4 separate regions of the Mus musculus genome follow, and regions 2, 3 and 4 are each reported to be linked to region 1. The links are microRNA targets in miRTarBase. Many come from high-throughput screens and were not tested one by one. Region 1 holds a microRNA gene; each other region holds the end of a gene's coding sequence.
What was found. The annotated mature microRNA mmu-miR-29a-3p reads UAGCACCAUCUGAAAUCGGUUA and lies in region 1 at 4,087-4,108, shown strand. An mRNA with a match to its seed (bases 2 to 7 or 8) in the 3' UTR can be bound and repressed. Matches are read on the target gene's strand: a 7mer-m8 pairs with bases 2 to 8, a 7mer-A1 pairs with bases 2 to 7 and ends in A, and an 8mer does both.

Region 2: miRTarBase lists Hdac4 as a target of mmu-miR-29a-3p. Seed matches in the 3' UTR shown: 7mer-m8 at 574-580 and 7mer-m8 at 885-891.
Region 3: miRTarBase lists Tbx21 as a target of mmu-miR-29a-3p. Seed matches in the 3' UTR shown: 7mer-m8 at 5,762-5,768.
Region 4: miRTarBase lists Fbn1 as a target of mmu-miR-29a-3p. Seed matches in the 3' UTR shown: 8mer at 5,905-5,912 and 7mer-m8 at 5,656-5,662.

The regions. Positions count from the first base shown.
Region 1 is chr6:31,059,661-31,066,780 of GRCm38, reverse strand. Mir29a (microRNA 29a) reads left to right here and starts at 4,034; the gene lies at 4,034-4,121. It overlaps Mir29b-1 (microRNA 29b-1), which reads left to right and starts at 3,688; the gene lies at 3,688-3,758.
Region 2 is chr1:91,926,717-91,933,836 of GRCm38, reverse strand. Hdac4 (histone deacetylase 4) reads left to right here. Exons shown (of 27, transcript NM_207225.2): 26 at 40-181; 27 at 451-5,058. The coding sequence ends at 490. Among named protein-coding and RNA genes, the nearest start is that of Gm46242, 51 kb to the right of the region's middle.
Region 3 is chr11:97,092,786-97,099,905 of GRCm38, forward strand. It overlaps Tbx21 (T-box 21), which reads right to left. Exons shown (of 6, transcript NM_019507.2): 5 at 6,985-7,046; 6 at 5,222-6,593. The coding sequence ends at 5,987. Among named protein-coding and RNA genes, the nearest start is that of Tbx21, 19 kb to the right of the region's middle.
Region 4 is chr2:125,295,269-125,302,388 of GRCm38, forward strand. Fbn1 (fibrillin 1) reads right to left here. Exons shown (of 66, transcript NM_007993.2): 66 at 5,326-6,707. The coding sequence ends at 6,318. Among named protein-coding and RNA genes, the nearest start is that of Dut, 51 kb to the left of the region's middle.

The sequences.
Region 1 (7,120 bases):
AAAGGATTGTTCTCAAAGACAAGTGTAATGTCCGCCCTCTGTGGGCCTTCTGCAGCCTGCATTGCTAAAGCCTTAGGGCTTACCAATTCCCCTTGAAAATAGACCTTCTCCTACCCTGTGCAAGACACCTTCATTCTTGCTCTGGTTGGATCTACAGGTTTATAGCATGCTGCAGCTCCTACACCAGCTTGCACAGTACACCTCGCTGCTGTGCCAAGTGGAAGGCCAAGGGCCGTGCTCCTTAGTCATAACCACCCCAGTGTCGCCAAATGCAGGTAGCCAATCCACAGCAGTGCCTGCGGAAGGAAGTAATAAATGTCTCTCACTGGACAGCAGAGAGAAGGGACCTTTTGAAAGTGTCTGAGTAGAGAACCCCACGTCCGTGGGATACACCCTGAGGTTCGTGTGTCACCGAAATACCACATACTGCTCCTCTCACGAAGGCTCTCTGCAGCGTGTCTGTCCCTGGAAAATGCTTGTAGCAGGTTGTCTTTGTGGCCCTGTAGAAGTTGAGGTGCATGCTTGCAAATCACCCTTAAAGAGGTCTTGCTGTATTTTGTCCACGGTGAGTCTCCAGTGAGTTTTTAAGTGACCATCGGAGTTTGATAGCCACTCTTACACACCCAGCTGCCAGTTCACAACCAGGGAAGACCTACAGAAACCTGTGCTCACCAGCGACAGCACAGGTCCCGCGTGGAGGCCCTTGAATGGAGAAGTAATCAGAATATATTTGCAGGTGCTCATTCAAGTGTGCGGAGATGGGAGGCACAAGGCAAAGGTATCTTTTTTTGACACATCCGTGTATGCCTCTCACTTGTGAGCTGGACCTCTTAGCTGCATCCCTCTACTAAAATGCCAAAGGAAAGTTCCGTATTGCTCGTTCGATCATCTCATGTACTACCTGATTTAACCCTTACAAAGCTCGGCTCTTCTGGGTACGGCTTCCAGATGTGTGAGCACAGCTACTGCAGTGACACGTGTGGCCTGGCCCAGACACACCGGTTAGGCCTGCCGAGTCCTGGTGGCCCTAACGTTTTGAAGCTGTGTTCCTCAAGGGGTGCTGGTTCAGGATGTGATAGTTCTTGTGAAATCTCCAAGCCCCGAGGGAAGTTATCTTAATCCAGTTTGCTCAACACAAGAACAGACTGGCTTCTCACGTCACTGGGAGCAATACGCATCTACTGCAGGGCCTTTCCACACAGAGCCCTGCTGTGGGTTACTGACTCAGACCAGGCCCCGATTTCCCTATCAGATTTGACAGAAGTGCACAGGAAGGGCAGTGCGTTGAAGAGCAGCATGAAGCATGCAGGCTGGGTTGTGAAGCAGGCCCACATTTTCATGGCTGGTGAGCTGAGAGCTGCTTAGGGGTCTATCCTTGGAAGATAACTGTTTCTACTCATAGGGTGAAGAGTCTGCCAGCCCAGCGTGTGATCTGTGTATTGTAAGGTTTCTTATTTTTGTCCTTTCAGGAGTTGTAATACTGCAGAGTTGTTGCTAGTTAAAAAATAACAGTAACCCAGCCTACAGAAACAATAGTTCTTTTATGCCCTAGCCCCAGACTAAAGGGTAATGAGGTTGTGTGTCCATTAAAGGGAGAAGGGAAGCACGGGCACACTTGTGAGTGAAGCTGTTCCTCTTGGGAGGGCTGTGCTTGTAGCTGAGGGCCATGGAAGGCCCCAGAGTCCGCACTTGTATGCATGTCCTGAGGGAAGAGGGCCCTGGCTTGTCCACCCCTCTGCCAGCCAATAATAGAGAGTTTCTTTGTTAACTTCAAGACTATTCTCATGGTGAGCCTGTTCCTAGGGAGCTGGGACTTGCTGAAATTACATGAAAACTGGGATTCAGACTGAAGAGCTCTGTGTGTACATGTATGCATGAATGTGTGCTTGTTCATGCATGCATGTTTTTATCATATGTGTGCACATGTGTATGGGTGCCCACCGAAGCCAAAGAGGGCATCACATCCCCTTCGGCTGGAGTTGTAAGCCAGCCTGTGTGCTGGGAACTGAACTCAGAAAAGTGCTCTTAATGACCGAGCTCATTCTCCAGCCCCCAATGGTTTACATATTCTAGACGTAGGGCCTTTCAGGCCTACCTTTAGTGAACATTTTCTTTCGGTTTGGTGCTGTTTTTATTTTATTTTATTTTATTTTATTTATTTATTTATTTTGAGAAAGAAAGGTTTTCTTAAACTAGTCAAAGGTTTATTTCTTTCATTTAAAAAATATTTAGGTATGTTTTATTATTTTTTGAAATAGATTCCCAGTCTGTAGCCTGGCACCTCGTGGTGCTGGACCAAGGAGGGGTCCCGCAGCCTTGATGAGATCTGAGTGTAAAAAGCAAAGCTATAAGACTGTCTTTTGAGAAAGTAGGTGAAGTCCCATGCACACTGGCTACTTCACAGTCCCAGGGAATTGTTTGTTTCCTCGGGTAGGACAGCTTACTGTAATTATAAAGAAAAATGTTCTCCTTTTTTTTTTTTAATTTTTTATCTCAGTATTTCTTAAACAGTGCTGTGCCCCAGCAGCTGAGAGCAGAGCACCTGGCTGATCTTCTCTTTGCTTTCAAACAATTCAGTAAGAACCACATATGCCAGGGATAGGTAATAATGTAGATTATATATCTAAAGCAAAAAACGCTCAGTTGTTAATTCAGAAGGCACAAATACAGGAATTTGTTTGATTATCATTGAAAGTTAATGCCATGTAGTGAGCCCTGAAATTACATGGACTAAGCCGGCTGTAGTCACGTACTTAGGAGAATGTGTGTGTGTAACAGCAATTAAAAAGAGGCCATGGATTTGAGAATGAGCAGGAAGGGATAAAGGGGGAGAAAATGTTAATAATCATTTTAATGTCAGTACATTTGAAAAAAATATTTTAAAAAGAAATTTAACATACAACTTTTTAAAAAGGTATTCTTAAAAAGGACATTAACATTCTAATATCTGAAATGTTTCTAAATAGTTTTTTTTTTTTTTAAGGCCGTGGATGTGTAGTTATTGGAGTCCCTGACACATTCAAAAGAGTGACGGCAAACGGCCTGGCCTAGCAAGACCACATGTCAAGAGCTAATGGAAGGGAGACAAGAAAGAAGCCAGAAAGTCTCAGCACTCAGGAAGCAGAAGCAGGGCCTCTCTGAGTTACGAGGACAGCCAGGGCTACATAGTGAGACCCTGTTTAAAACTGTAATAGTAGTAGCAGTAGCAGCAGTACTGATGATAGTGATAATCTGTCAGATACCGAAGATTCAAAGCTTCACTTCTGGAGGAGAATTGAGTTAGCAAAAGACCTGAACTCACTACTGCAGTCTGGCAAAAGGGGGCAGGGTCTCATTAGCATCAGTGTGTTGCTTTGCCTTTGAGAGGATCCCAAATTGTGCTCACTTGTCGACTCTAACAGATCGATCTGGAAGTAAAAAGTGTCACGCTTATCAAAAGTGTGCTGAGCTCTGCCACGCTGCACCGTGAATGTGTAAGCCTCGTGCTCACTGTCCCACGTCTGCTCTCGGGTGAGGGCTCAGTTACCATTTGGAGGGAAGAATGCCATGAGTGACCGACATGTCACACCCCCACCCCCACCTGCTAGATGAGGTCAGCATAGGATCGCCTGAAATTAGGAACTATTGCACGGACTTCACCTTCCCTCTCCGTAGGAAGGCCACAAAAACAGACGACAAAGCTTCTTCAGGAAGCTGGTTTCATATGGTGGTTTAGATTTAAATAGTGATTGTCTAGCACCATTTGAAATCAGTGTTCTTGGTGGAGAACTACTTCGCTGCCGACCGCACAAAGAAATGAGTGTACAGCCCTGAAGTAAGTGTCCAGTGTCTAAAACAGGCTACCAGAGCCTGCCCTCGCCCACCCTGCTTACCTCTGTGTTATGGATAGCTGATTAGTCAACCACCGTTAGAATTGCATACTTGTTCATGTAATAAGCCTTCTCTGGAAGTGGACTCCACCATGCTCGGATGAAGACCTACATATACGACAGATTGAAGGCCTGGGCCTTCCCAGTGCACATGACCTCTTGTGACCCCTTAGAGGATGACTGATTTCTTTTGGTGTTCAGAGTCAATAGAATTTTCTAGCACCATCTGAAATCGGTTATAATGATTGGGGAAGAGCACCGTTCAGCTGACTACGTTATTGCTGACGTTGGAGCCACAGGTAAGAATTAAGAAACAAATACCAAAACATGCTAAGGTACATTTTCTTCCTATCTTAAACTTGACTTTCATTAACACGTGCCCCAGCAACAGCATGGTTAACTATTCACATAGTGATGGTGGGTGTGTTTTAGAAAGTGTGTATGGGTTGCAGATTTGACGGTAACTAGAGGATAAAGGGCCAAACCAATGACTGACCAGTCAATGTGAGAGGAGCAGGGGATATTTACTTCTATAAGGTTCTAACAGCTCACATAGGGATAGTCACCTAGCCTGCCTGACCACTGGCCATTGCATGGTTAGCTGTCCAGACCAGGAGAGCTATAAGTTAGATGTAACAGATGGTTCAGATAACTGGACCTGTGTCTGGGACTCAAGTAATAGGCATAAAAATAAGTGTGACAAACTCATGTCTGGTAGATGTGTCCAACCATTTACATTGCAATGCGATGTTGTCATCAACAAAGTTAACATTAGAGAATACAATGGGATTGCAAAAGATAATTTCGTGGGTTTTAAGTACACTTGTGATGTGTTGGACAGCATTCATAGCTATCCTGAGGGGAAGGGGGTGGGGTGGGGTGGCATGGGCCACAGGTTGGACACACCTAGCCTGTGGTATTTGTAGCCTTTCCAAGTGGTGCTTAAGGCTACATTTCCTCCTGGTTGAACTTTAACTAGACTTATAAATAAGGAAAATCAGATGAATCATACAAATGACTAAGCTTTGGCTAGATCTAAAAGGTTAGGCGAGATAGATTGTACAGTTTTTCCTTGGTAAACAAAACGGAACTCCTGCAGTAGACCTCGCTGCCCAGAACCCCAAATCCAAGTTTTCTGTGCTTGTGTTTCAGAATGAAAAGGCAAGCGGGCTGTTAGTATTGCTGAAGCGCTGCGTGTGTAAGTAATTCCTAACCCTGCTGCATCCCGACCTTCGTTCATAGCTCGTTCCTGTTGAGCCGAATGGGATCGCGTGTAGCCTCAGTTACTCCCGCATTACGCATTGTCCAAGTCAGCATCACGGCCTCGTAAAGCAGAAGAATGCGTTTGCTGCTGAGACTGAACAGCTTGGGTTGAACTGAAATGAAGAGGGAGTATACCACAGATACAGAATAGGAACAAAGTGACACAGCTACAGAAAACCCGAAGTGGAGCGTTTGAACCATTTTAGAGTATATAACACAAAGGCTCTTGAGCAAAGCTTTCATGGAGTTGTACAGATCAGCAAGGTCTAGTTCTCCTCACCTCGAAAGAAAACCTGAATCCAGGCATTCCTTACTCATTATGTACTTCCTGTCTCTGAGTGAAATCTGTTCTCTGTAGATTTACATGTTCTGAACATTTCACAGAATCACACCCTCTGTGAAATTCTCCATCCAGCTTAGTTCACTTAATGGGACGTTTTCATGGTTCTCTCACGGTGCGTTCATCCAAACTCGGTTCCCTTTTCATGACTAAATAATATTTCACTGTGTGGGCATGCCACATCTTGCTTATATACTTACCAGTTTGGCATTTAAATTGTCCTGTTCTGTTTTGTTTTTAAGTTTAATCTTCTAATATGATTCATGTGTTATATATCCACAGACTGCACTGGATTAGCACTGAGCCCTATAGCAATAAGTAGCTGTCCACTGCCGCACCTATATTTTCCCATTAGCTGTATCCTCAACTTTTATCTGTGTCTTCTGACTGCCTACATTTAAAGCGTTGCGCTGCTCTTCTTTCATTCTGACTTTCTTCCCTGCTCCCTCCCCCATGTGAGGATTTAACTTTAACAACCCTCATTCCCCCTTAAAGCAGCCGTTCCATTGACCCTCACAATCCAATTACAGCCCAGGTGAAGTCAAGGACTAGTGAACAACCCGGCCGCAAAAGGCCAGGTAGACAGCTGTCATGAAGAACCTGAGGTGCACATGAGTACACACATGCACATAGAAGAACTAGTGTTGGTAATGGGGAATATTGGTAATATAGAGAGGGATTTTTTTGTAGCCCACCCATACAGATTCACATTCCTTCAGAAACCTTATTAAATTCTGAGATGAGTAACTATCATTTTAAACGTTGTTTCCCTGAACTTTCCCATGCACTCCTCATAGCGACTGTGGAGCTTTCAGCTTCCCTCCCAGCGTGCTGGGACAGGCTTTGGTTTCTCGGAGCCCAGCTTCCTCCCACACTGGTCTGGGTGAGTGCCTTTCTCAGCTCTCTGGTTCCCTTGCTTCCTTCCTGGGCTAAATACATTCCAGGTCCTCATCTCTTTAATCCTCTCAGCCAGCTCCTGTCTGAGAGTCTGTCAGCCAGCTCCTGTCTGAGAGTCTGTCAGCCAGCTCCTGTCTGAGAGTCTGTATATGTGTTCGTTCTGTGTGTGTGTGTGTTAAAGAAGCACACACATCCTTCGGTAGTCATCTGGGGAAGACTGGTGGAACTTTTTTGGGGGGGCCGGGGGGCAGGGTACAATTTTTGGTATGGAATGTCTGGTTAGAAAAAGAAAATCCTTCAGACTTTCATTCTCTAGTATGCAGGATTGAAGTAGAATGCAGAGCTAATCAATAGGCCCTTTGCTCTGGAAGTAGGAGACTTGGTTAACCCTGTAGTCTGTGTTCTTCAGTGGTTGGTCCTGGGCCTTGGGAGAGCTGTCTTCACTCCCTGGGCAGGGCATTTGACATTGCTGTCATTGTGGACAACAAAGTCCCTGCCTTCTTAATCCTCTGGCCTTCACCTTTGCCACTCACCGCATGGCTTGCCTTACCGCTCCCTGTCTCCTTTCTGTCTCTTTGTTCTGCTTTCTGGAAGAACTCCCACCATGTCTTCTAAACATCACAGTGAGTGAGCATGTCTGCTAATGGACTTCAGTATCTGAAAGGTAGGTCTTGAATGCCATTCTTCCCTGGGGTGAGGATTCACAGCTGTTTCAGGCTGTTGATTTCTTACCTGTGTTTGAGTTTTCTCT
Region 2 (7,120 bases), not on the chromosome of region 1:
CAGAAGTGGGGAGTCACTGAGTGTTTCCCTCTCCCCCAGGCAAGTACTGGCGCTGCCTGCAGCGTCTGTCCTCCACGGTGGGGCACTCTCTGATTGAGGCGCAAAAGTGTGAGAAGGAAGAAGCTGAGACAGTCACCGCCATGGCCTCGCTGTCTGTAGGCGTCAAACCTGCTGAGAAGAGGTGAGTCCTGTCCATTCCGTCCCAAAGGCCTGCTGAGTACACCTGTGCATGAGGACCTGACAGAGTCTTCTTTGTGTCAGGCTTGCCCTTTAGGGACAGGGTAGATGGTGGCATGCCCACTGACTCGACAAACCAATCCTGTCTATCAGGAAAGAGCTTGCACTTTGGTGGAGCAGGGATTTTGACAACTCTGTGAGAAAGGGAACCTGATTGCACAGGGCCTCCCTCACCCACTGTGCACCCTGCCCGACCCCCTTTCTCCTCTACAGATCTGAGGAGGAGCCCATGGAGGAGGAACCACCACTGTAGCCCGAAGCTGCTGTTCTCTCCTTTGTTTGTCTGTCTTGAAGCTCAGCCAAGAAACTTACCCGTATCACTCCTGCGTCCTGCCTTGGTGCTCTCTTGAGTACAAAGGGACAGCAGGCGTGCAGCAGCAACGGGAAGCCTTTCTGCCGCCCTGGACCACAGGTCTGGAGACGCACACGGAACACCGGGTGTGGCAGATCACATGGAACACAGGACAGCGCGCAACACACGGGCACACAGACATGTGGAAGCCAAGCACACGCTGGTGGCTCCCCCTCCCCCTGGGAAGCCTCGAAGGAAGAAGCTTGTGGCAACTTGGGCAGAGTTGCTGAATCAAGTTGACATGAGGAAAATGAAAATCAAAGATCTAATAATACAGAACAAACTTGATTAAAACTGGTGCTTAACATTTGATTCTTACCCACAATCCCACAGTCTCCGTGTAAACCACTCAACTCATCTTGTAGCTTTTTTTTTTTTTTAAACGAAAACAAAACCATTTTCTATGGCTCTGGCCTGCCTTGTGAACCTTAGTGGGGTGCTGTGGGGGTTCACAGCTTAGTGAGGGACAGAGTTGGAAGAAAGTTTAAACGAAAAAAAAAAAAAAAAAAAAAAAAACTGGACAGAACAGAAATGTGAGCCTGGGAATCAGCTGGAGCTTCTCGACGCCACCGGAAGATGCGAGTTTGTGCCTTTTTTATTGCTCTGATGGAAGTTTTTGTGGCTGGGTTTTCTGAAGTCTGAGGAACAATGCCTTAAGAAAAAAACAAACAAAAACAAAACACCACTGAGAATTGGTGTGACAGTGTCCTGTGGCTGGCTGAGCCTGGCATTACAAGAGTGGGCACCAGCCACTGTCCCCGAGGGCCGAAGTACAGCCAGCCTTGCTTGGTTTGATCGCCATTTAAGGAAGATGAGGTAGTTCCAAAAAGCAGCGAACGCCGCCAGCAGTTTTAAAGTCTAACACATTTTAAACGGATCCAAAGTCTTCTTTCCTCATCCGTCACTTAGCAGTTGAGCATCTCCATTCGGTTGTGAAGCATGTCGTAGGCACACTGCAGTGTTACGATCGGAATGCTTTTCATTAAAAGCAGGTAGCATGAAGTATTGCTTAAATTTTAGGTATAAATAAATATATATATGTATAATATATATTCCACTGTATTCCAAGCTAAGAAACTTGATTCTTATGAGATCTTGATAAAATATTTATAATGCATTTATAGACAAAGTATATATAAATATATATAATAAATCCAGACCGCAGAGGTCCTGGCAGGTGAAAGACGTGTGTTAGCTCTGAGGTGCTGAGGGCTGGGGTCTGGATTGAAGCCCAAGGGTTTTTGAGCTCCAGATTGGCCAGCTTCCAGATTGCCAGCATGTTCACCCCTGGGCAACTTCCCTACCAGTTTGTACTTTAATTTTAATTATTTTCTAACAGAACCTCTGCCCTCGCCAAGACTCCATGCACATATGTACCTGATGAGTTTTTATAGCAAAAGATATAAACTTGCTGTTGATTTTTGTATGAATTTTTCACAAAAAAGATCCTGAAGAAAACATTATTTTGTGTATTTTACATTTTTCCCTTACCATTCAGCAGTTTTCTGAAGGTGGTAATGTCTGAAACTTTTTCTTTCTAAATTCTTACTTGTACATTTTTTTTAGCTCTGAAGGTTATTTTTATGGTTTGATTTTGTTTCTTTTTGTACAGCAAGCAGGGTTCTGCTTTGAGCAAGAGCGCTGCTATCATGCTTGGTTTTTTTAGAGCAAACCTCTCGAGATTGGGCAGCAGGTCTGCGTGGCACCCTGGTCTTGTCCAGCTCACCCGGGAGCAGCACAGCCAGGGGCTTCTGCCCTGCAACACCGCTAGTATTACAGGGCGGGCAGGCCTCGTGAGCCGTGAGGGTGGTTGGCATTAGTGAATGTGGACTTGTAACCACTCCATCAGGATAGAACCCCAGCTCGAGTTTCCCAAAGACCTTTGAGGCTCTGGCCCTGCACCTGTTCAGGAATTTCCATTGCGGCCTCATAACCTGGACTCTGGCTAGAGCCATAGCCCTGGGTTTGTAGCCTGTGGCCGCTGAACCAAGGCCTTTGTCCTTGTCCTGCAGGAATACACAGGGTCCTGAGGGACAGCCAGTCTTTGTCTTTGCTCTTTTTTTTTTTTTTTCTTATGACAACTAACTTTTTAACTGCTAACTTCTTTTCTAGCACTTAAAGCCGCCAGTTTCTTTCCAAAGTATGTGGAGTTCAGACTGGTGAGAGGAAGTTGAGATACTCAGAAGGGACATCAAGCTAAGCTTCTGAATTTGGTGGCATTTACAGGGTAGATGGGAACTGGGTCAAGCTTTTGACAGACAGGCTGAGCACACATTCTTGGACTTTTGATGGCTGGGCTGCTGTGAGTGCTGAGCTAAGACAGAGGGTGGAGAGGTCTTAGGACGTCACTGACTTTGCCCTCCCTGTGGCTGCTCTGGCCCTTGGAGAAGGAGCAGACTTGAGGGAGCCCATGCAACCTCTCCCTTGCTTGTCACTGCATGGCGACAGAGGCCAGCTAGCTGCTCTTCTGGCCGCCTTGGCCCATTTACTGCAAACCCTGCCACCTGCCCTCTTGTGCCAGCCACGACTCGTGGGAGGTGCACCTCATCTTACTTTTTCAGGTGAGGGGTAACAGGCCACTCAGTGGCCAGGGTACTGTGAGAGGGACTCACTTTGGTCCTATTCAGTCACCCTTTGATGCAGGGGCCTGGCCAGGGAGCCAACTCACTCCAGCTTCCCTGTGAGCTGAAAGCATTACCTACCATATAGCCTTTTCTTCCCTTTGAAGACACATGTGGCCCTTCCCCACAGTCATCACCCAGGGCAGAGGGCAGAAGGTCAGCCTTGACCTCCAGGGCAGGACCACAGCACTCCCCTGCCTGGACCTTGAACCTTCCACCTTCTCCCTTCTTTTGCAGAGGCCTTGGTGGGTGCTGGGAAGGGAGCTGGGAGCAAGCACTTTACATCCCTTTAAGGGAAGCCCAAAGCACCGTGTCCTCAGGATGCCGGTGTCCACTCACCTTGGGTCTTCCACCTGCACCCTGAGAGCCCACGCTCCACCAGCAGGCGGCCGTTCCAAGGCCACTACCCACTGGGACATCCCAGGGCTCTGGCTTGAGGGCCGCTTTATCAAAGTGTTTCAGTTTTTCTTTACTTTCGAATCTGTCCCCAAGAGGAAGGACCATCCTGCAGTGGTCTCCACAGCACTGGTGATAGACTTGGTTGTGTTTCTTTCCTCAGAACATTCCTTCTTCACTGGTCACAGCCACGTGCTCATTCCATCCTTCTTTTTGTAGACTTTGGGCCCATGTATTTTATGGGCATTGATACATATATAAATATATAGATATAAATATATAAATATATTTTTTTAAGTTTCCTACACCTGGAGGTTGCATGGACGTACGCCGGCATGTCTTTATATTGTATACAGATTTTGCACGCCAAACTCGGCAGCTTTGGGGAAGGAGAAACAATGCCTTTCTTTCCCCTCTCATGATGTTTGCAGATGCAGAATTTTTTCTGTAAAACAAAACCTTGAAGGAGAAGAGGGGGGAGTTTGAGTCTTATTGAACTTATTCTTAAGAAACTGTACTTTTTATTGTAAGAAAAAAGGACTACTTACACACTTGTCATTAAGAAAAGTTTACCTAGCACCTTTGACATACCGATAGAGAGTCGATTGTATCCATGTGCAAGCCCCACATTCACACCCTACTGCCTGTCTGGCAAGCTGGCTAGGGGCATTTTCTTTTGTTTTGTTGGTTTTCTCCTTTTCTCTCCCCACACAGGGCCAGGTGCACCCTGCCTGCTGTCACCAGCCTCTGGTCGAGAACCTGAGGTTCTGGTGAGTCCCCGTCTCAGCACAACTGTGCTGATGGGTTCCTTCCTTCAGGAAGACACGGGCGGGGGCTGGGTTTCCGAGTTGGGCAGTCCAGGCCTTTGTGAGCCCTAGGTCTCAGCGACACTTGGCACTGGAGGAAACTATTTCTCCCTCTCAAGGATCCGGGCGTGCTCTGCACCCGGCCTTGGTGGCCTCACCGGCCTCACGTTGATCAGAGTCTCCTATGGAAGAGAAGAATGCAGACAGGCTTGTTCAGGGTTGTGCACTCCACTGAGGAGATGCCATTTCCCAATCTGTAAGAATGTTAAACATGCTGTTTCCATATATGCGCAGGAGGCTGACCTCATTCAGCAAGAGCTCACTACAGAAGTGTGGTCAAAGCCGCCACCGGAGCGCTGTGACATGAAGCTGTGTGTGCTCCACAGCCACGACCGCCTTCACTCTGTAACAGCCTGTTTTCTCTTTGATTGTCTGGACCTCCCCTCCGCGGCGCTTTCTCCTCTTGGCGGGGTTGGGAGTCATGTTTGGTTTTCTCATTCTTGTTTTTGTTTTGTGTGGTGGGTTCACTGACCGGCGGTGTCCTCTGGCGGTCACCTCTTTCCACCTCCCGGGTCCAGTGTTTGTACCACATCACACACTTGTCGCTCTCGTGGTGTAAATAAAGACTGCGTTAATTGCCCTCCCATCTCTGCTACCTCCTTGTGTTCTTTCCCCCAGCTTGGGGGGGGGGGGGATTGTGGGTGCCCGCGCGCCCAGGACACTGGGCACTGACCTCCCATGCCCTGGGGAATCATTGGGCCCCGTCACTTGGATTGAACTCCAGCAGCCTCTCAGACTTTTCCCAGCTAAGCACTCAGAGCAGATATGAAAGCTGCCAGTCCCCACCACTAACAAGGAATCCCGACTCCCACCGGTCCAGGTGCGCTCGGAGGGTTTGGTTTCCAGGGGAGCATGGTCTGCCATCAGACACACACCAGCCGGTCAGAAAAAACTTAGCTGTAATTTCTGAGCTGTAGTTTGTACTGTTATAAGTTACAGGCAGGGCGTGGATGTCCCTGGCTTCAGGTCTCCTAAGGCCGTGTGTCAGCCTTCTCTGAAGGCTCGAAAGGGGTGCCGTCTCATACACTCCTTGGGTTGGCAGACCTTTCCTGACTCTCATGGTGCCTACAGCAAAGCAACCTGGGAGACGGCATCCCCTTGGTAGACTTGAGAGCTTGTCCTAATAAATTTCAGATACTTCCTGGTCTGCACTTTTTTTTTTTTTCATTTTGATTAAGAGCCAAATGCATGCCAGCTATGAATTCTTGGAAGCCTTTACCTCCAATTGGATAAGAAGGAACTTGGAGAATGTTCAGAACGATTCACCATAACAGCCTATGTTAAACCTCGCTCAGTCAGGACCAAGCCCCATCAAAGCCTCACTGGGGAGCATGAAGTCATGAAGCTGGAAGATTTGTTTCAGTAGTTCCAAGAACTGTTAGGACTGCTGAAAGCTCTTGCTAAACTGTCCACTTAGGAGAGGGCTGGCTCCTAACGTGTGTTCTACTAAAGCTCCACTTCCTGCCCGTTATTAACAACCTCAGATCACTCAAGACAGCAGTCCAGATAATGTAAAAGGCATTCTTCTGCCCCTTGATCCCCCCTCCCATTCACTCTCACTGCCACACGGCCTGGCCCCTAAGTAGCAGCTCCCCTAGACTGGCCAGGCAGGAGCAGCAGCGAGGCCAAAGAACCTTGACTGACTAATCAGTTCCCTTCATCATGTGTAGCCTGAGCGAAATAAACCCAAGGTTGGTGATGGAGGTGGGGTTGCTGTCACTACTGCTAAGACATACGACCACAATGACCAAAAGATAGGTAATTTTGAGACAAGAATGCAAAATGGCCAATAAGACTGTGGGACAGGTACCGTGAGCTGTCCTAAGGTTCTAGATGAGGACACTCATTCCAAGCATCAAAGTGAGTGGTTACCTGGAACCCAAGACAGCCACACCCTGCCGGGGTAGCAGTTGTGAGTGAGTGTGAGTCTTCTCTCCGTGGATGCTAGGACAAGAGTCCAACCATGTCCGACTGTGTGGGAGTTGGAAGTGGAACACTGGACAGAGCAAGGCTGAGACGAGATGCCTAGGAGTTGTATTTACCCCAAATGGCAGGGTTCCGCAATATGGCCCAAGCAGGTCAGATGGGGGAATGATCCCAGGGGTTTCCATCACAGCCACACCCCTGTGTGAGAGGAGAGGCCTGAAACCAGGACAGGAGATATGCTGTGAGAGACCTGACTGCTGGCGTCAGGCCAATCTGAGGTCTATAAAGTACCACAGCAAGAACAGGCTGCATGCACACCACCCACTGCCCAGAAAGGGAGACCAATATTACTCCAGCACCACCAAGGGATGGTTTCCAGAATGAGCCTCATCCATTTGCCTCACCCCCACCCGAGTCCCCAAGCCCTGACCCACAGGAAGATGAATTGAGGCCATGCTACTCATGAATGCCGGACCCTCAAGCCATCCCCCCCCACCCCCCCAGAATCCTGGGGAATGCAAACCTAGAAAGGGAGGCCCTCCCTGGGCTCCTTAGATTATGTCTTCATCTGCCCTACAGGGCAGCTGTGGGCTGTCTGAGCCCCTGTACCCAGCATACACTCCCTCTCCTCTCACTGGGTAGCTGTGTACTGTTGGGACCCTGTCCATAGACCTGCCGCCTAGGCCCATCATCCAGAAGGTAGAAGGCACACCCAGCACCCC
Region 3 (7,120 bases), not on the chromosome of region 1:
TCATGTCTGCTTCTCACGCTGAGCGCCCAGAGCCGTCTCACCAGCATCCCCACCTAGAAGCAGAGAGTCCTTCTCTGGAGAGGAGGAGAAAGGCAGGACTTGGGAGCCTAAAGGTAGTAAGAGCGGTTTGGCAAAATGGAAAAAAGAAAATCAAAGTCACACTTGTCATGGAGGGTCAAGAGAGATGGCTCAGTGAGTAAGAGCCCTTGTCATACAAGGTGATACACCTTTGTTTATGTCCCCGGCACTCATGGAGAAGCTTGGCACGCAGTTCACACACCTGTAATCCCTGTGCTCCCAGGAGATGATAGATGAAGACAGGAGAATCCCTAAAAGCTCACAAGCCAGCAATTTATACACACGGTAGAAAAATAATAGAGTCTCAAACAAGGTGGGAGGGGAGGGCTGATACCCAAGGATGTCCCCTGACCTCAGTGCACATGCCATAGCACATGCACGTGCACACACTCACATACACACGTGTGCATGCATGCACACACACACCATAAACACATAGAAATTGGGGGTGAAAAAAGTGACCTTCCATTTTTTCCATTCTCCTGCCCCACTCACAGGGCGCTGTCAGCTGCTGGGGGCTTTCCTGTGGAGAATGGATCCTCTCAGGAGGGGTCTCTCCGTGCACTCATATTGCAGGGGATGCCAACTCTCAAGTTTGCGTTAGGAAACAAGCTCTTTGGGAGGGGCTGTGCCTTACTGCAGCACGGATCTATTCCCATAGTGTAAATATTCCCACTATGGGCGATGTCAAGCTACCAACCTGATGCCACCGGATGCCGTGAGGGAAAGCTATACTTGTTCTGTTTCAACTTAAGAGAGAATGGACAGATTCATAGAAAGGAGCCGAGATGAGGTCACCCTTCACAACAGCTTCATGACATGGGGCCCTGAGAAGTGACAGTGGCCTCATTAGGAGAGATACTCACCATGTCTAGTATGATGGGGCATGAAGGGACATGAAGGCTCACTCAGACCCTTGAGCTCACAGACTATCAGTTACACTATCACAGCCATAATGGATCCTTAAAGGTGGAAAGAGGAGAGGTATTCCTTCAAATGCAGATGAAGAGAGCAGTTTCTGACACTTACAGGTTTTCAGTGGGCAAGCTTCATATTACATGGTCTAACCTTGCCTACCTGTCAAGGGGCACAGAAAAGGCACTAGATAGGACTATAAGGTGGAACTGTAAGACCACAGTCCAGTATTTCTCATCAACTCTGTCCCAGAGAGAGAGAGAGAGAGAGAGAGAGAGAGAGAGAGAGAGAGAGAGAGGAGAGAGAGAGAGAAAGAGAGAGAGAGAGAGAGAGAGGAGAGAGAGAGAGAAAGAGAGAGAGAGAGAGAGAAAGAGAGAAAGGGAGGGAGGGTGAAGCTGGGCTGGCTTTTCCCTCAGAGTTAAGGACTCTTAACAGGTATGGCTGGCACCTGTTAGTTCTTTGTCTTAAGGAACAGATTGCATGCGAGTGTGGCCTGAGGGTCTTTTGTTGTTGTTGTTCTTTAAGACAGGGTTTCTCTAATATATAGCCCTAGCTGTCCTGAAACTCACTTATGTAGACCAGGCTGGTCTTGAACTCACAGAGAGCCAACTGCCTCTGGGATTAAAGGTGCCACCGCATTCAATACATTCAGGCTTCATAAGCTAATCAAGGTCAGATCCAGCACCCCACTGCCAGCTTCTCTGCAGGGTCACCCTCCTGGATCACCCTATGGGAAGCCCGTGAGAGATAGCCACTTCTCCTATACACCCAAGTGCTCTTAAAGGGACTACCAGAGCCTTGCTATTAAATGTGAGTTGATAAGGATCACCCAGTATTTAAGACTTCAATGTGAAAGAGAATCCAGAGCCCTGATTCTCCACCTTCCTAATGCTGCAACTCTTTAGTAGAATTCCTCATGCTGTGGTGAGAACTGCCCCCCCCACACAAAATCATCTTGTTGCTTCATGACTATAACTTTGAATTGCAATGTAATCATCAGTGCTTTGGAAGGGGGGTCGAGACCCACAGGTTGAGAACCCCTGGTTTAACATCGATGAGACTGGAAATGTAGCTCTCTGGTGGAGTGCCTGCCTAGCACACCTGAGGCCCTGGGTTTGAGCCTCAGTAACATCCACCCACATGCACATACCCACTCCCAGCCTGCCACAGGACTTCAAACCAACATGTGCCATTCAATATTCAGAACACAGAAGATGAAAGAAACACCTAAATTTAAAGTGGATGATCATGAATCAAAATAGCATCATAATTCCAAAGAGAGATGGTATCGACTAAAACATAGTGGAGAAATGCCTTAGGAGTTTGTGGTGTGGAGCTAGATAGGTCAGTGGGTTAAAGCACTGGTTGCTCTTCTGGAGAGTCCTAGGTTCAATTCCCAACACCCACATGGTGGCTCACAACCCTCTGAAATTCCAGTCTCAGGGCATCTGACACCCTCTTCTGACCTCTGTGGGCATCAGGCACTCTACCCAAGTGTACAGCCATAGATGCAGGCAAAACACTAATCCGTATAAAAATGAGCAAGTAAATGAATACAAAAGAATTTAATGCACTGGAAAGATGGCTTAGTGGTTAAGAGCACTGGTTGCTCCTGCAGAGGGCCCAGGTTCAATTCCCAGCATCCACATAGTGGCTCACAACTATCTATAACTCTAGCTCAAAAAACCTTTCTTAACCTTACAGCGTTCCTTTCAAAGACTATTTTTTTTCTTTTCTTTTTTTTTAAAATATTTATTTATTTATTTATTATATGTAAGTATACTGTAGCTGTCTTCAGACACTCCAGAAGAGAGCATCAGATTTTGTCATGGATGGTTGTGAGCCACCATGTGGTTGCTGGGATTTGAACTCAGGACCTTTGGAAGAGCAGTCGGTGCTCTTAACCGCTGAGCCATCTCTCCAGCCCTATTTTTTTTTCTTTTCTTCATTTCAGGGGTGTCTGTGCAAAGAATAGTTCTGCTAGTGAGGAAACTTTTATCACCAACCCACAATTCTCTTATTTCAGCTGGGTTCTGAGAGGTTTGTGTGTGTGTGTACGTGTGTGTGTGTGTGTGTGTGTGTGTGTGTGTGTGTGTTTTGCTTATTTGTATTATTAATCTACAAATTAAAATACAACCATTTTCATTAAGACAAAACATGATTTCTGTAGGGTCACAATTTTATAAACCATTTCTGTTTGTCTAACCCATTGAATGGTAATGTCAGTTATTCAAGTGTAGCAAAATTTGATATCATTTGCAGTTGTCCTTATTCTTTTCCTCACTATAGGGTCTCACTGTGCAGCCTGGGTTGGTCTCCAACTGTCTGCCTTCCTGTCTCAGTCACCCGAGTGCTGAGTTTGCAGGCACTTGCCACCTCAACTGGCTTGAATTGTTTTGTTTTTTTTTTAATTTTAGGGTGTGGAGCAGTGGCTCATCAGTTGAGAGCATCTGATGATGTCACAGAGGGCCTGAGTTTGGTTCCCACCAAACCATCACTGATCTGGAGGCTCAAAACCACATCTGACTCCAGCTTCAGGGAATCTGATACCCACTTCTGGTTTCCATGGCACCCACACAAATATACACATACACAGCTGGGTGTGGTGGGGCACATCTTTGATCCCAGCTCTCAGGAAGCAGAGGCAGGTGGATCTCTGTAAGTTTGAGGCCAGCCTGGTCTATGTTGTAAGGCCAACCTGGAAATCAGAACAATCTTTTGAGGTTGGTTCTCTTCTTGCCAAGTTAAAACTGTTCTCTTCCCCACTGTTTTCCTACTGTCCTACTGTGCCAGTCATCTGGTAAGCTGCCAAGACACCCTCCTGTCTCTGCCTCCCATCTCTTAGGAGCTCTGGGATGGCAGATGTGTGCTACCAGATTCAGCTGTTGCATGAATTCAAGGCATCAAGCTTGGGTGGTCAGTCTGTGCATGCAGCTAGCCATTTACCCCTGACTCAAATTCTCTCTCTCTCTCTCTCTCTCTCTCTCTCTCTCTCTCTCTCTCTCTCTCTCTCAGAAACAGAGAGCTAGAAAGCTGGGCATGGTGGTTTGTGTCTGTAATCCTAGCTCTTGGGAGGATGAGACGGGAGGATCACCGTGAATTGGAAGCCAGCCTGGGTTACAACATAATCTTTAAGCTGTTTGTAGACACAGTTCCAAAGGCAGCAGAGAACTTCCGTGCTCTGAGCTCTGTCTGGAGAGATAGGATTTGGGTGTAAGGGTTCCTACTCTCACACAGTAATTCTAGGATTCATGTGCCAAGGTGGTGATGTCACACACCACCGTGGCACTGGCGGCAGGTCCATCTACAGGGAGAAGTTGGAGCATGAGAACTTCATCCTGAAGCGCCCTGGTCATTGGCATCTTGTCCATGCAAATGCTGGACCAAACATTAATGCTTCCCACTGGTTTTTCACCTGCATTGCCAAGACTGAGGGGAAGGGGAGAGAAGGCATGAACATCGTGGAAGCCATGGAGTGTTTGGGGGTCCAGGAATGGCAAAACCAGGAGGAAAATAAGATCCCCACTTCCAACCATGGACAACTCTAATTCTTTTGACTTTCGAGCATCTTACCCACCAGACCATTCCTTCTGTAGCTCAGGAAAGCACCCCCACGTCATCTGCTCGCAACACCCTGTAATCTCTGCTCTCACTGAAGTGCCTGGGGTCCCATATTTCCCTTCTTCCCCTCCAAGTCTAGCTGGATTTCAGAGTTAAGTTTATGGTTATGAATGAAAACTAAATAAGAGGGGTGGGGGGAAAAGAGAGAGGAGAGCTCCCACACTGAGGACTTCATCAAGCGCTAATCCTGCCCGAGTGTGTACTAAGGTGACTCATGTGGAATTGCTAGTGTATGCCTGATCGTGACCTACAAAAGAGTGGCAACATCACATGGTATAATTTCTACTTATGCCTTTAACACTTGAACAAACTCCTAAAAAATGGAGAGTGATGCAAAGATAAATCAAGAGTCCTGGCTTTCCTAAACTCCACCCGACCCAGCCTGGTCCTAACCTTGCTCCCACACTGCCTCCCTCCAGGGTTCTGAGCAGGCAACATAGGCTGAGGGGCTCTTTGGTCACAATACACCTTTGGTCACATGTGGTGGCATGAACCATCAGCTGGAGTGCTGAGGACAAGACATACTCTGAGTTTATCCCTAAGTGGGGTCACTTTAGGTTCCTGGCAGTTACCCCCCAAAATCAAGAGCCCACAGGACAACTTTGCTAGATCAGCAAACTTTGATCCACACACACACACCTCCTACCGACCAGCCACAGAAGGAGGGCGTGTTTACCAGGTCCATGTTTATTTCCAGAAAGTGATGCAAAACAGAAGAAATACATCCAGACACCACTCTCTACAATAAATAGCCTCCCCCCTCCCGAAGAAATAAAAAAGAGACACCCGTGTGTGTACACACCGGTTCAAAGTGACCTCGCCTGGTGAAATGTGCACCCTTCAAACCCTTCCTCTGCACCCACCCTCTCTTGTCTCCTCGCAGGTGGCCCAGTCCGCCCGCAGTCACCTGAGTCTTCTCTGTTTGGCTGGCTGTTGTAAAAATGCGTGTATCTTCACTTTCAGGTCAGAGATTAACACAGGTGTCAGACCAACAGTTGAAAGTTACTGACTGGACAGGGGAAGAGAGCAGCTCTCCTGGACTCCCCACCCCGACCCCTCCACCTCGCAGAAAGCCATGAAGTCCCTCTGGGTCCAAAACTCTCTGGAGTCCATTCTCCGTTCTCCATGGAACCATGGGGTCAGAAGCAGCACCAGGTTCGTGACTGTAGTTCGGGCAGAGAAAGGGGCAGGGGACACTCCTGTCGTATTTCCTTGTGGGCCAGGAAACAAGAAGTAAACCCCAGAATCCTTCTTGCCCCGCTTCCTCTCCAACCAATCACTATACAGGGAAGGGATGGGGAAGAGCTCGGGGCTCTCAGCCCCGCGTCTGTTTTCTAAGTTAGTGGGCACCTTCCAATTCAGCGGCATTTTCTCAGTTGGGAAAATAATTATAAAACTGGCCTTCGGTTTCCTTATCAAAAGGAGAAGGGGCCCCAGCGGGAGAGGAGCTGTCGCCACTGGAAGGATAGGGGGATATCCTCCTCCTCTTAGTGTCTCCTTCGCCTAGTCCTGAGTCGCTGGGCTCCGGCTGGAGGGAGGTGACCTCAGGCCACAGCGAGGGGGAGGAGCCCTGTTCCTCTGAGGATCCCAGGCCCGGGTCCATGGGCAGAGTTCGCATGGGCCGGAACCAGCCAGCTGGGCTCATCTTGGGCGGGTATTGAGGGGCCACGGGCCAACCAGCTCCAGGCGCCAGGACGTCTTGGCCCCGGTAGTAGGGCACAGTGGGCCCCGGGGCAGAGGGTAGGAGTGTGGGCTTCATGCTCACAGCTCGGAACTCCGCTTCATAACTGTGTTCCCGAGGTGTCCCCAGCCAGTAAGGCTGTGAGATCATATCCTTGGGCTGGCCTGGAAGGTCGGGGTAGAAACGGCTGGGAACAGGATACTGGTTGGATAGAAGAGGTGAGAAGGGGTCTCCCCCAAGCAGTTGACAGTTGGGTCCAGGTGGCGAGGGGACACTCGTATCAACAGATGCGTACATGCTAAAAAATAAATAAAAATAAAAACAATGAATGAGGGGGCTAGAGAGATGGCTCAGCAGTTAAGAGCACTGGCTGCTTGCTCTTCCAGAGGTCCTGAGTTCAATTCCCAACAACCACATGGTGGCTCACAGCCGTCTGTAATGAGATCCAATGCCCTCTTCTGGTGTGTCTGAAGACAGCTACTGTGTACTCGTATAAATAAAATAAATACAGAGAGACAGAGACAGAGAGAGACAGAGAGAGACAGAGAGAGAGAAAGAGAGATCAAGGCTATATTAGGCTTCTAATATGATGGTCCCCAGACCCCTGAAGCAGAGACAGGGCATGTTGAGCACTGAACCACAGTCCCATCTCAGAAAGACCAAAGGGGATTTGAACTCAGAACACTTACGACTCAAAGTTCTCCCGGAATCCTTTGGCAAAGGGGTTGTTGTCGATTTTCAGCTGAGTGATCTAGAGACGGGGAAATAGAGTTCTCTGAGTCCCCTCTTCCTCCTCAAGAAGTCTGTCCCACCCTCCCTCTGGCA
Region 4 (7,120 bases), not on the chromosome of region 1:
GAACACAGACAGACAAATTGAGTTGTGAATGCTCCAGGATTTGGTGCCTATAAGCAGGCACTCATTAAACATTTACTCTTTATCACCGGCTGGTTAAGGACACACACAAAATTGAAAATAGAACTCTCTTTGGGGATTTATTTCATGCATGTAATAGCATTTAAAGGTGCTTGGGATGGGTATTTCTGTATTGTGTCGTTTTAGTCATCTATAGCAGCATGATTGAGTGTTCTACCTCAATGCATACACAAACGTTCCTTTCCCGGCTCTCAGTTGGCAATGGCAGCCTCCTTTTCTGTACTTCTTGATTTGCTTTGTATTTTTATATGTGGTTTGCTGAATCAGAAAACTTCCTGGGAGGCATATTAAAGTTTACATTTTATAATAGAATGCATTGCCAAACCATTCTGTAATTTATACATTTCAAGATGGAACCACTGGGGCCAGGATGGGTGGTAACCTGGCCTGTGTCCCATCGTGCAACTTGTACGTTCTAAGTGGAAGCTGGTGGCTGAGAAAGAAAGCATTAGCTTTCTCTCTAGAGAACTGCCCACTTTGAAGAAACTGCATGGTATTTCTAAGGTTCATATTTTAGAAGGTTTCTTTGATATTTTTGCTATGGACAGACTTCATGTTGAAGATGTTGGCTTCATGCAAATAAACCAGTATGGAGATAAGACTTTCTCACAGTGGCAAGTATGAGAGGAAGCTTGGAGTTGGTTAGAGTCCAGCAATGTCTACAAAAACTCACTGCTGCCTGCGAGTTGTCAGCTGGTGCCACATAAGTCCAGTGAAGTTACAGGACAGGAGATGTCACATTTTACTATGTGATAACGTGAAGTCCCATAGATTACAGTGATAGTGGAAAAGGGGGGCATATGAGTTACCCAGAACAGTATTCCCTTGACTGCCAGATTCTCATTAAGGCTCTAAGTCTTCAGAGTAGGTTTTCAGTCAGGGCTGCACACTTAAGTCACCTAGAAAACTCCTAAGACTGGTCATGGCTGGACTACAGACCCAGACTCTGAATTAGTGGGTTAGGGATACAACCTAGATCCAGAGATCCCTTTTAAAGAGCCATGGTGGTTCTTATGTGCAGCCAAGGTAGAAATCCATTAGTGTGTGGATTCTTCCTGGTAAAAAGGTAGAGATGTGTGTATGCCTTTATTAGAATAATCAACAATATGTATCAAAATGTTTCCAGATAAAATTTGTATCAAATTCCCAGACTTTCAGAGGCTTAAGGCAATGAACTTGGTTTCTTGTGGGAAGGACTGCATGTTTTTATTCATTGTTTTCAAACAGACATGGAAAGAATATATGTCATTTACTCTAAGATCCTCTTGGTAAGTGTCTTGGCACATAGCCCCAAACCTTCTGTTGACCTCTGGTCTTCCGGTGGGTTCTGAAGAAAGAAGCAGAGTTGGTGACTATCTATTTAGTTTCTGCTACAGATCAATGATGTGGAAATATTTAAAACACTTTTCAATTGCTATCTATAAACCCCTAGATTAAGGCCATGTCTTAGTGTTTCAATATCAATGTTCAATATTAGTCTTATATATCAATTTCGTCCTATGCTTACAGAGGCAATAATATTCTAAAGGACATTTTGGTTATAATTTTAGCAGGAACTGACAGGATCCAATTTTACAAACAAACTCACAGCTTTCTGTGCAGATCACCACAGTATTATGTGGGGGAGATAGGGAAGAACGGGTCTGTGATTTTGGTGATTATCGATGTGCAAGGTGAATGTGCTATGGCCTCTTGCATGTTGTCTCCGAGGGCTGTGAAACTGAGATTTATAACACAGACTCTTTAGGTCTCAAATGTTATGTGTAATTTCTACCTTGACAGATTTCTACATTGCACCAACATACCTTGCGTTAGTCATTCACCCTTTGTCTCCAGCAGTGATTGGGTGCGTGCTACACTGTTGAAGATAAAGAAGGGTGTTTGAGTCTCATCTCAACCTCTGTGCGGTCAGAGACCTTTGGCAAGACCCTCAGACTTGTGTACCAGTAAATATCCAAGCAGAGATGGGAATCAGAGAAGCATAGATTACAGGGCTTAAATTAAGGAAAAAAATATGTATAGGGGGTAATAAATATGTCAGATAATACAAAGAGGGTGATGCAGTTACCACTAGTTACCAGACTCAGAAACACAAAGGAGTCGCTCCCAGCCCTCGCAGTGGGTCAAATAACTCTCAGTGTACTTTCTTTGTAGGTCAAAAAATCATGGTCTCTGGGGAGAAAGTCTTGTCAATGATCAATGGAGAGCATTGAGAATGGTGGGCGGGGCTTCCTGTTTCTTCCAGTAGGTGTGAGGTCTGTATGTCTGTGTGTCTGTGTGGGTGGACAGCAGATGGAACCTGGAGACATTGTTTCCTGGGATGTTGTAGCACAGACTTTGGCTTCATCTAGGAATTCATGATGCCTGCAAATGACCCTGGAGCAGTCAGCCCACAAGAACACAGGAAGCAGCAGGCCAGAAAGAGGTCTGTCCCCTGTTGGTGTCTGCAGCCCTGAGGCTTGATCTTGGGACCACCCGAGAGAGGCACAGAACACATCCAAAAAGGATGGTCTCGATGTGGTGGAAAACAGAAAGGTATAGAAAAGCCCCTCAATGCTGGGTTTGTGTGGTTAGGAAAACACCCAGTTCTGACAAATTAAGATCCCATTAATCCTTTCTGACAGCTTTGGCTTTCTTTTCCAGGGTTCAGCTCACCATGTAGACACAACTCCACCAGTCTGTGACCCCTTTCTGTCAGTGTCTGGGGGGGGTGGATGTTTTCAAATATCTCCATTTCCAGGCCCCAAAAGTTTCACCGTTTATGTTCAACTTAATTCTCCCCAAGCGAGTATTTTAGGGTGAAGAGGAACCGGATCTCTTCATAGCTCTGCAACTCCCAGCACAGCTGCAAGGACTAGGTCAGGTGGGGATGGAAGTCAGGCAGGAAGTGCTGAGTGAGGACGCCCTGCCAAATGCCCCACCTCTGCGCTACTTAACCTTGAACCCGAGTTCTTGTCTGGATTGGAGAAATACTGAGAAGCCTTGGTGACTTCTAGCTGACACTGTAACCAATCCCAGGGGTCAAAGAAGAATCCAGGGTGCTGAATACTTTTTTGAAATATGAATAGTCACAGGGGTCAAAAATAATAATGGCTAATGAGCCAGCATGAATCACAACTTACCTGCTAGCACTGGATTCAACTGGCAGAGAGGATACACCTTCCACTTGCCAACAATCGAGTGGCCCTTCCATGCATGTGCAAGGGTTGAGGGTGCAAACAGCTCACTCTCTAAAAGGATGGCATGCCTTTTTTTTTTTTTTTTAAAGAAAAAGAAATTGGATTCATTAGCAGTTAGTTGAAATAACAGATTTGGCAGTGTTGCCAGGTCCTGAGGTGTCAAATGTCCCAAACACATGCCTATGAGGATGTGTGTCTGAAAGTCAATCTTTCTAGTGGTATTGATCTCCTACCCTTTAAAAACAATGTCCTTAAGCCAGTGAATAACCGTGTTTCTAATATGTCTCTAAAAACTACAGTTGAAGTTCGAATAAAGTCCATGGTTGTGGACAAAGCTGACCTGTTATTTGAAAATCCCAGCTGTTTATAGGTATGGACATATTTATATTATCAACCCAATTATCCTTTTTTTTTTTTTTTGGCCCATCTCATTTACAAGCATGATTTCTGAAGTGAAACAGTATTTGTAATGGCAGCATCCAAAGCAATTTTGGCTGAGTAAAGTACAATTTGTTGCACAAAAATGTAGCTGTTTATGCAAGTTTAAAACACTTCACAAGGGCAGCTGAGTTCACTTGAATGCTACTTACAGAATAATTATTGGCAAATGAAATGGGCTGTGGGGGAGATGGGGTATTTTCAAGCTTCTGCATGGTTTAAAGCGCAAACTCTTTGACTATCACAAGTAAAATGGAAAGGTATAGGACAATTGAAAGGTGCAGGTCGAAAGCCCGGGAGAGGAAGGGGTTTCACAAGAGAATATTTACAGTGGAACAATGAGGCAAACGTTGTGTTACCGTCAGAAACATGGAAAATATGCTGTTCAACACTGCTGGCTCTGGGATAAATAAAATCCAGATTTAGACTATTAGAAATATCAAAGTGGTCTATCATGTGCCAACTCCATTTTCTTCTGTTGTTTGTCATAAAGACAGTCTATTATTGAATGAACTATAGCTCTGGTTATATTATCAAAGGCGGTTTCCTTATGAAATCCACAGTTTGCCAGATGTGGTCAATCCTTCCCTAGCACTTCCATCACTAGGTGAGAGGTGCAGCATTGAAGGAGACTCTGGGGTGTATTTCAACCTCCAGCTTAAGACACCAATTCCTCGCATCCTTGCCTCATCTCTGCTGAGCAACAACTGTGGCCAACATTCTTCTGGCTGGCAAAACCAGAGATTAAAAAACAAACCCAGAAATCAAAACCCAGACAAACCAACCAACAAACAAAAACAAGAGACTCTTTAGGGTATCCACAGGCATTAAATGGATACCGGTGCCCTGTCTAACCTAGCTGAACTCAGCAGACTGCAAGGAAGCCCATCCTCACCATAGGTAGCCTTCTCATTAAGGAGGTATGTGTTAAACTGAGCCTTACAGCACTTGACACTAGTTGTGTCTTCTGGGAAAGCATCGCTCATAGCCTACTCCACTGGCTCTAGCATACAGCTCCCATGGCTTTGAGAGGACTTTCCCATGTCTTGGAAAATTCCACTCTCGACCTCCCTTCATGTAACAAAATTAATTCATCTTATTTTCACTACCACAGTTTTGCTGGCCTGGGGGAGTTGTTTTTTTTTTTTTTTTTTTTTTTTTCTTCTATTAACTAAATGAGCTTAACAGTTAAATATTGAATGTTGCATTTAAAATAAACCACCATTTTTCAAGTTAGGACATTTGAAAACCAAGAGATGCAACATTCAGTTGGATTCAATTCAATCAGCTCTCTGTAATTAGTCTAGCACTGACCAACAACAGATGTTCAGGGGAAAGGATGGAACACCTTGCCAATGCTGTGTACGTGAGGGGAAGGAGCATGAAGTTCAGCTCGAAGAGAATGACTGGATTTTATATCTGGGAGTTCTTAAATCTGGGAGTTTAAAAGCCCCAGGACTAACTAGGTCACATTTTAGAAATGATGCTGTAATCTAAGTGTTTTCCTAGGAAAGTCAGATAACAAACATCAGCAATCGGTACCACCGTGAAGGGACTAACTGAAGATGTGATTTCTTCTCCTGGTGCTTACATCACACATACACAGAAGCCACAGATAACAAAGCAGGGATACTTTAAACCCAGGAGACTTTATTTCACCTCCAGAAAGGCCCCTCCAGCCTTAATCCACACAAGAACATAAAACCAAGGTGTAAACTAAAATGGGGAGGGAGGGGAGGATCACTTTATTGTGACATCATGACATTAACCCCTTGTTGACAGGAATGACTGAGAGTGATTTTGGCGTATTGCACATGCTGTGTGATGGAGGATGCGGTGGTGATCCTCTGGTGGCTGAGGCTGCTTCCTTGTCCTCCCCAACCTCAGTGCACAAGTGGGCCAGTCTCAGAGAATCCACTACCATTTGGTGTAGATGTTTAACAAGTCTTTGGTCTTAATAAGCACCATTACAAACCCTCACATTAAGGGCTTTATTATTGTAGTTTATAAATGTTTCAATGATAAAAATAGCACGTTACAGTGTACACACACTTAATTTACATGTACTGCACCATACTCATAAGTGAGATAAGCTACTGAACTAACTTTGGTTGATTGAAATGAAGTATTTGAACTGAGTACTTGGCAATTTGGTTCCTAACTCGTGTCTTTATTACAGTGCATCAATAAATCTATTTTGAGAATTTACTAGCACCAAACAGACAACAGAAACCTACTGCTTGCACTCGGAGAAGCAAAGTTTCAAGATCTGAAGACCAACGCGGAACAGTCCATCAGATGGAAGCGCGTTCCTGTGCGGAGGCTGGGAAGATAGCCCATCGGCGTGAATGGCCAACCTCAGCGGATATTCATGTCCCAGTTTTCAGGAATCAATACGCATGACAGGGTAGCTGAGCTACTCACGAGAAGCCTGAGAAAGTGGTTGGTTGAACTAGGATCATCACTGTACCTGGGTGTTGCCATTCAAGAGTGGTGCTCATTTATACAGATCGACTCGGTGAACAATTGTACCATGATGTGAAGGTTCTGGCTTGGGGAAAATATAATTCTACCTGCCTAAGGTTGCTTTTTCATTTAATTATTTGGTCTCTGGATGGTGAATTAATGCAGCAAGATCTGAATTTTCATCTTCAGGTTATCGCCCAGTTCACCACTGAGGTAGTCTTTGTCATATCTGTCTTCTAACTGGTTAAGTTCTTTCTTTTTATAAAGTGGGGTGCTGCTGATTTGTAAGGAGTAGGTCCCAGCCACCGGCTTCTTCTTCGTGAAGTGGAGGTAGCTGACCCCTTCTTTCTGGTTGATTTTAAAGAAGCCATCTTCATTTCCAGATTCAATCAAGTATCTGTTGTGGTTCATCAGAGTTGTGAGGGCCGGCAGGAGCTCTAGGATTCGGACCTTGTTATTGACATGGGAAATATTGAAAGCAAAGCTAGCCGGCTTCTCCACATCCCAGCTGGCGAGGCTCACGTTGGCTTCCATCTCAGACCCGTCCTAGAAAGACACATGGAAATGGGTTAAATCCCACTAAGTATTCTCATGCTAAAGAAAAAGCCACTCAAGTCTCAAGCCAAACACAGTTTTCTGCTCATGCAGTATGTTAAACTGAAAAGGCAAAGCTAGTAGGCACTTTGCCTAAGCCACAGATGTATTCTCAAAAATATAAATAGATGGCAGGAAGCCAGGTTGTACTGGAGCAGAGTCTCTCAGTAGGTCTCAAAGTGTGGTCCCTGAACCAGCAGCCTGGCATGCCTGGAAACCATTAGACATGCAAATTCCTGTCACCTCCCAGACCCCTGGGATTAGAATTCCTGGGGCTTTTCCCAGCACACCATTCTAACAAGCCTACCAGGTGACTCAGACGCAGTGATTTTTTTTTTTAAAGCTTGCTTCATAGGTTTGTTTTC